Oryzias latipes: one gene and its partner. The protein of the gene in region 2 purifies or fractionates together with the protein of the main gene of each other region. This does not show direct contact. Links are inferred from orthologs where the notes say so. Each region holds a gene or a part of one and is shown on either strand. Other genes may lie near its edges.

Region 1 (4,102 bases), on a different chromosome or scaffold from region 2:
GATGTCATCAGCAGCTCTGCAAAGAACAGCGTCTCGATGCCTTCTTCCTCGTGCTTCTTGAACTGAATTCCTGAAGTGGTCAGGAGCTCGATGGAGTCCTGCGCGTACATGTCCTCTCTGGTTAAAACAATAAATACATAAATGAAATAAATAAATAAAACACATCTCTGTTTCTAAGCTTCACGCTTTCATTCCAAAAAAACAACAAACAAAACGCCACAGAATAACCATTAAAAAACTTAAACTTTGTAGGTTTGCTCAGCAAAGAGGGAAACCTTCAAAAAAAAACTTAAGGCAGGAATAGATCGACTAGGATCTGACTGGATGCTGGAAAAAGTGCAAATTCTTCCATTTGGGAACGATGGACAGAATAACGCTTGACTTTGAAAAGCATCGTTGAACCCACGGGGGACCAATCGTGTGAGAAGGGATGAAAGCGCCGCTCTTATTCTGAAAGACAAATGCTTCTCCTGTAAGCCCCGCCTCCTCCGTCCCAGAACATCCACCATGGATTTCTCCAAGAATCTTTAGATGTTTTACATGATTCACAAAACAAACATAACTTAAAATTTTTTTTAAAAAGCCACCCAAGCTTACGTAAAAAAAGTAAAAAAAAACCCCATCTGTTTAACAATAAAAAACAATTAAAAAAACACCTGTGCTTCCTATTTAGAGCATGCATTATTGCTATTTTTTTCATTAATTACTTGTATTTTTCAGGCAGCTTTGATCTGTTTTTTTTTTTTTAAATATAAAAACTCCTATTTTCATTCAGGATGCTTTCTCTTCGATTAATTTAAATCCCCTTTGTGCGCCTACCCCCTCTGATAAAAAAAATGTAAGTTGTGTTTTTGGAGGGCTTAACATGTGGTGGTGGTTTTTTTTTTTGATGATACATAAAGAAAATTAACCTTCGTCTTCCTCGTCTGAGCTGGCTCGCCCTTTTTGTTGCACCGGTCAATATCAGGTCAGGCGGTATGAGGGGGCTGTAAGCTACCGGGAGATTGTGTAAACAGAGAGCTCTCAGCAACAAGGAAGGAGAATAAAGGGTAGAAACTGCAGAAACTATATCCAGGAAAATGACAACTTTTTTTTGTGTGTGGCTAAAATACGGAATAACCATAATTTAAATCTGATTGGGAATGCTTTTAAAATAGATCAAAGGCATATAGGACTTTAATGTGTTTTGAATTGAATTGTTTTTACAGATTGTGAAGTCGTTCATGGGAATCCAAGCGGACGAGTCTGTTTAGACATAGTGAGAGACTCACGTGAGGCTAAACTTAAAGTTGAACTGCCACGTTGACGTCCCGGGGGGGTACTCTCCCTGCTCGTTCATGAAGGTCAGGCCCAGCTGGATGATCTTCAGCAGGTCCACGTTGCAGCGCAGCAACTGGTACTGATAGTCGGCATTGCTCCGGAACTCTCCGATGGGTCGGGCTACAACTCCTGGAAACTCTGTGTCCTGAAAGAGGCAAGAACGAGGGACCGTGGACACCAGTGACAGTGGGTGGGTGGGAGGATGGATAGATGGATGGATGGATGGATGGGTGGGTGGGTGGGTGGGTGGATGGATGGATGGATCGATGGTTGGGTAGGTGGATGGATGGATGGGTGGGTGGATGGATGGATGGATGGGTGGGTGGATGGATGGGTGGGTGGATGGGTGGGTGGGTGGGTGGATGGATGGATGGGTGGGTGGATGGGTGGATGGGTGGGTGGATGGATGGATGGGTGGATCGATGGTTGGGTAGGTGGATGGATGGATGGATGGATGGATGGGTGGGTGGGTAGATGGATGGATGGATGGATGGATGGGTGGATGGGTGGGTGGGTGGATGGATGGGTGGGTGGATGGGTGGATGGGTGGGTGGATAGGTGGATGGATGGATAGGTGGATGGATGGATGGATAGGTGGATGGATAGGTGGATGGATGGGTGGGTGGATGGGTGGGTGGATAGGTGGGTAGGTGGATGGATGGATGGGTGGATGGATGGATGGATGGGTGGATGGATGGATAGGTGGGTGGATGGATAGGTGGATGGATGGGTGGGGTCTCTGAGCATCTCTCACCATTGCGATGTAGTTGTACTTTCGGATGACGTGCCGGATTCTCTTGAGCTCCTCTTCCAGGTTACTGGCCCAGACCTCACATATTCTTTGGCTGTGGTCTACAGTGGCTGCGGGCATAGTGCCACTTCACCACGCGTGGAGATGGGGGGCGGGGGATGATGAGAGCATCATGAAAACACAGACAAAGCAGCCGAAACCACATGAAAAGAGCCGCTTAGTTAGTAGTAGAAGTCATGTGTGTTTTAGCCGCCTGCTAGCTCGTAATTTAAAGCAGCACTGTTGCTAGCTTGTTACCTGTTAACAGTTAGCGGGTTGGAGGTAAAACTTCCGAACAAGAGGAGTGGCGACTGTGCGGTTTTCTCACACAAAACATTAGTTTCGATCAACTACACAGGAGTGGTTGTACAACAGGACAGGCACGAGTAAGTAGCAGCAGTGCGCGCGCGCGCACACACGCCGGGGCGTCACTTCTTTTCTTTTTTTTTTTTTTGGGAGACTGCAAAGGTTTTGTTTCGTTGACTCACCGTTCCCCGAAACGGGCGCGCGCGTGTTTGAGCGTGTGCTATCTGAAAGCTGGCCGTGTGTTCTGTGATATCTGTCAGCAGGGAGGGGAGGGGGGTGTTCCGCCAACTTTGAAATACTTTTATATTCAGTGGGGCTTGATGTCAACCTACGGCTGCCATCACAGCGGACCCCACACAGTGACGTCATTACGTAAAGTGAAACGTCAGGACGTAAGGACGTTTCAGGATCCTCATCCGTAAAATGTGAAAAAAGGTTTTCCAATAAATGTTTGTAAAGAGGAATATATAAATTTTAAAAAGTACAAATAAACGTTATATATTTCTTATTAATTACTAATTTATTCAAGGTGAACAGGCTCTCGTTGAAAGTGTATATATAATTATTTTCAAAGGATATATTATTTTTAAAAATTATACTGTACAGATTTTTTTTATTTTTTCACAAAATATATTTTCTTTTCAATTTATATTAAAGTAAAATAAACTTTTTTTTGCCCCTAAAGTTATATTATTTTGGTAAATTACTGAAAAAGTTTTACACAAATAAAAATGTTAGCCATGAAACCAAAAAGGCCACATTTTAAATTCAAGTAAAACATGATGCAGAGATAAATTCGTTTTTCAAATCACTTGTTTTAATAAAAAAGTACAATTTTCACAGACGCATCATAATCCAACGTTCGCATTTTTGTTGATTTTGATCATTTTATGACCACTCTAAGATGAAAAAAAAGAATGCATATGATTGACATCTTTAAGGGAAACATTTTCAACAAATATGGACTAGAGGACATTTAGGGTGAAAAAGATTTTACCTTTAACTTTTATTGTTGAACACAAACCCTCAATAACCAATATGTTGTGTAAATGCCCTTATAATTTTTCATACCTTATGTAATTTTTGTAATGTTTAATTTTTTTCTATGTTATCTGTATTTCATTCTTTTTCTTTTTCTTTGACCTTTAACCCCTCATCCCGTAAGTTAGTAATTCATAACATTTCATTTTCTCCAGCACTTCATTCACAAAGGAAGTTTTTTCAACATTGAGAATAAATTCGGGCATGAAGTATTTTACACAGCTGCAAAAATGATGACACCAGTGGTTCTTTTTGTGATGCCAAACCTGAAACTATGACCCACATTTTCTTGATTTGTACACATCCTCAGGTAGGATGTGTACTTTTTAAAACAAAATAATTTATTTATAAACATATTGTTGCTTCACTTCCTCATCTTCTATTTATTTGCAACACAAAGACAAAATGGGACAATCTCCCACTATGTAATTTTTTCTAAAATAAAAAAAATCAGTGGCTAATATAAGATTACAAAAAAATCGTTTTTAGTAAATATTATTGCATTTAGGCTGCACGGTGGCGCAGTGGTTAGCGCTCTTGCCTCACAGCAAGAAGGCCCCCGGTTCAAGTCCCGGCTGGGGGACGTGAAAAACAGAACATCAATGGGGGACCTTTCTGTGTGGAGTTTGCATGTTCTCCCCGTGT
Region 2 (3,500 bases):
GTTCAAGCTCTTGAACAATTTAAAAGTCCTAGAAAAGCTACATTAAGCAATGTTGAAAGTAGACATCACTTTATTTCCTCAATCATACTTTTAGAACCTTATTAGTTAAGGCACATCCATTCTATTTTTTTTATACTGAAAAATATTTTGTTGTGGAAATCAGACAATGTTGACTATTCCCTTTTATATATTTTAAGTTGCCAAAATAAAAGCAGTGTTGCTTGGGTAAAAGCAGTTGCAGTGTTTCACATTGTGATCATTAAATAAACTGAATTGTACCATTTTATTATAATGAAAGACATTGATATTCAGATACAGTTTTTTTCTGAGTCATACTGTTAAAAAAATTAAAAAGTAAAAAAGTTTTCCAGTACAATATCGGGATACTTATCTTATCCTGGGACACATCGGGATGCGCATCGTATCGCCAGACTCTTACCAATACACACCCCTACTAAAAACTATTTCAGACTAAAAAAAATATTGCATAATCTAAAGGTCAAATCATTAGATAAAGTTTCGACTTTATTAACAAATAGACTAACATTCTGGCCCAGACTGACTCCAGCTTTAATCCTGATGGTGCTTGAATGAACACAGAACAGCTGGTTTAACTAAAAAAAAAAAAGTATTCAAACATGTAAAATGTGTTGACTACCACGCATTTGTGCTTTGCAGCCTCATGCTAGATATACTTTTATAACGTTTCAACATGTTGGTGACTCATGCAGCTCCTCCTGTAGTTTTTAAAGTAAATCATTTTATTTTTAAAAGTACTTTACAACAGTGTCACCAAGCTGAACATTTTTTTGGGCACGATGTGAAGAAACAGGCAGCAGATGACCTGATATAAATTTTAAGTTTAAGAAAAACATTGAAAATCTCAAAAATGCTTTTTTTGCTTTGTTTTTTTGTGTTGATGTCCAGGTCCCTCCATCCTTGTTGAAGTACCCAGGGGGTAATGGAGGTCTGCTTGGCCCTCAGCAGGTGGCTATGCTCAACCAACTCTCTCAGCTCAACCAGCTGTCACAGCTGAACCACATCAACCAGCTACAGGTACATAGACCTTTAGGCCTAACTTCCAGCTTTCTAAAACAACCTTTTGTTGCTTCTGTCTTACATTGTGTTATGTGATTGCAGCGCCTGCTCCTCCAGCAACAACAGCAGAAGCTTCAAAACGCGAGAGCGACACCGGTGGGTCGTCCGACTGAACAGGTGTGCACACACACACAACAAAAAAACTCTGAATAACTAGAAGGCTTTGGTATTTCTACAAAATCCAAGTGTCTTGTTTCCTGTTTCCTTATCCAGACACGTCCTATTGGTTCATCTTTGTCAATGATGCAGCCCCCACGGCACCTGGATCCATCTCTGCTAAAGCAAGCTCCACCTCTTAAATCATATGCTGACGGCTACATGTCCCACAATACATCTGAGATGCAGAAGAATGCTCCTCCTCTCGGACCATTAGGCAACTTCCCTTTAAGTATGTCAACTATTGACCGATTCTATTTTTTTTTCTTTCTTTTCTTTTATTGTATATATTATAATTTTTATTAAACGTTTATTATAAGTTTCGTCCTTTCAAACAAAACCCAGAGTTTCTCTTCTCTTCTCTTCATCTAACATTAGGCTTGACCCCTAACCTGAATGTACCCCTGGATATTGCCGTTAGTGGTGGAAGCAGTAGTGGTGGAGCTGTGACCTACAAAGAACCACACCAGTCCAGACTCAAAAAACTTTGGGCTACTGACATCCTGGAGCAGAACAGCAAATCTGGTAAATGTATCGGACTGAATACATTTTTTTTGCTACTTAGATTCTATTTCCACATTAATAAATGTAAATAATCGTGTTCAAAGTTGGTTTTCTTGCTGATCATCCATAACTTTTTGTATTAAAATTGCAACAAAAACAAAAAAAGACGATGGTGTCTTTGACTGTACCCATTGTCTGTTTGCTCCCTCTCAGGTGCTATCTCGTCTGACTTGCGTCTAGATGACTCTCCTTTCTATGACTTCCTGCCTCCTGGTCCACCTCCCCTGAGCCCTCCCGGCCAACCAATAGGCTCAGTGGGTGATGGCTGGCCGCCCCGTGCCAACTCCCCCCCTTCCCATGCAAACACTGTCACCTGGCCCCCAGGTAAATGTTCTATCACTGATTCAAAACAGACATTGATTAGTACCACAGTGAGCTAGCAGCTAAGGTTGTTTTTGCCTCAGAAATACAGATTCATTGAAGTTATTCTTGTAATTTTGTAATATCTAAAAATTTCAAAAAGGTAAAATGCAGTAATCATCCAGTACAATAAAAAATTGTAATTGCTTTGTATTATTATTTTGCAGAGTTCCGACCCGGGGAACCTTGGAAAGGTTACCCCAACATTGACCCAGAGACTGACCCTTATGTGACCCCCGGCAGTGTCATCAACAACCTCTCCATCAACACAGTTCGTGACACCGATCACCTCAGGGATAGGAACAATGGTAGGCTGCAGACAAGTTTTGACCGATCAGCTGATGGCGACACAGTGGAATCTGTATGCATAGATCCAGTCTCTAACCCCTGGCTATTCTGGTTTGCAGGGCCACCCTCATCACTGAACACCACGATGCCTTCTAACAGTGCCTGGTCATCCATTCGTGCCTCCAGCCACAGCGGTTCCCTCACCAGTACAGCACAAAGCACTTCAGGTAGCCTTAAAACCCATCCTTTAAAAAAAAAAAAGGCTCATGTGAAAATAAATAATTCAGAGAACCTTAATTTAATACGAATTAATACATATATAAGGTGCTCCAGTTTAGAAGACACAGTTGTTTTTGAAGGCTTTTAAGTATGCCTTATATTGTGGAAACTGTCTATAAAAAAGGCATACAAACAAGATCTTTTGTTAAATGGTCTGGAGGTTTTAATGAAATGAAAATGGTTTTCTTTTGCTTTGCAGCTAGACCAAGTGAGTCAAAGTGGTCTCCTGGAGGTGGTTCTGTGTCCAACTCCTCCCTAGCCCATGAGCTTTGGAAGGTCCCCTTGACTCCCAAGGCGCTGCCGGTTGCAGCTCCTTCCAGGCCACCACCCGGCCTCACCAGCCAGAAGCCCTCTGGCTGGGACAGCTCTGCTCTGAGGCGGGGGGGCTGGGGCTTCACCGAGTCAAGATACACACCTGGTGGGTTCAGAGGGAATTCATACAGTCTACTTCAGTTTGTTTACTTTTAACAAGCTGGTTTGTTGAGTTAAAAAAAGAAGTGTTTCCTTTTCTTTTGAAATTGCTATATCCTACTGATTTCCAGCTATGTAATTTTTTTTTCTTTGTAGAGGACATTTCTAAACCTGAATATCTTCAACCACTGCATTTGCTGAATGAACTTCTTTTGGTTTCTACAGAAGACTTTTGGGTATTTTCAATGATAGAAAATGTGAAGGGGTGGGGCTCTGGGAATTGTAATTTTTCTGGATTAAAAAAAAGTTGACTGGACAAATGTTTTAATAGTCAGGAGGTGAAG

The links. The genes of interacting proteins can lie anywhere in the genome.
Region 1: the proteins of tnrc6a (region 2) and CCR4-NOT transcription complex subunit 7 purify together in Homo sapiens (affinity purification with western blotting; 3 studies listed by BioGRID and IntAct, with this or other methods). This does not show direct contact. The link is inferred for Oryzias latipes from reciprocal best matches to the Homo sapiens genes TNRC6A and CNOT7.

What each region holds. Positions count from the first base shown.
Region 1 is NC_019868.2:26,784,432-26,788,533, forward strand, and holds the start of CCR4-NOT transcription complex subunit 7, read right to left. Parts: upstream 2,801-4,102; 5' UTR 2,599-2,800; exon of another isoform or gene 2,369-2,598; intron 2,199-2,368; 5' UTR 2,192-2,198; coding exon 2,075-2,191; intron 1,466-2,074; coding exon 1,272-1,465; intron 118-1,271; coding exon 1-117. UniProt on the Homo sapiens protein: Has 3'-5' poly(A) exoribonuclease activity for synthetic poly(A) RNA substrate. Its function seems to be partially redundant with that of CNOT8.
Region 2 is NC_019866.2:17,733,710-17,737,209, forward strand, and holds part of tnrc6a (trinucleotide repeat-containing gene 6A protein), read left to right. Parts: intron 1-927; coding exon 928-1,056; intron 1,057-1,140; coding exon 1,141-1,215; intron 1,216-1,311; coding exon 1,312-1,486; intron 1,487-1,632; coding exon 1,633-1,779; intron 1,780-1,971; coding exon 1,972-2,142; intron 2,143-2,345; coding exon 2,346-2,486; intron 2,487-2,585; coding exon 2,586-2,693; intron 2,694-2,944; coding exon 2,945-3,163; intron 3,164-3,500.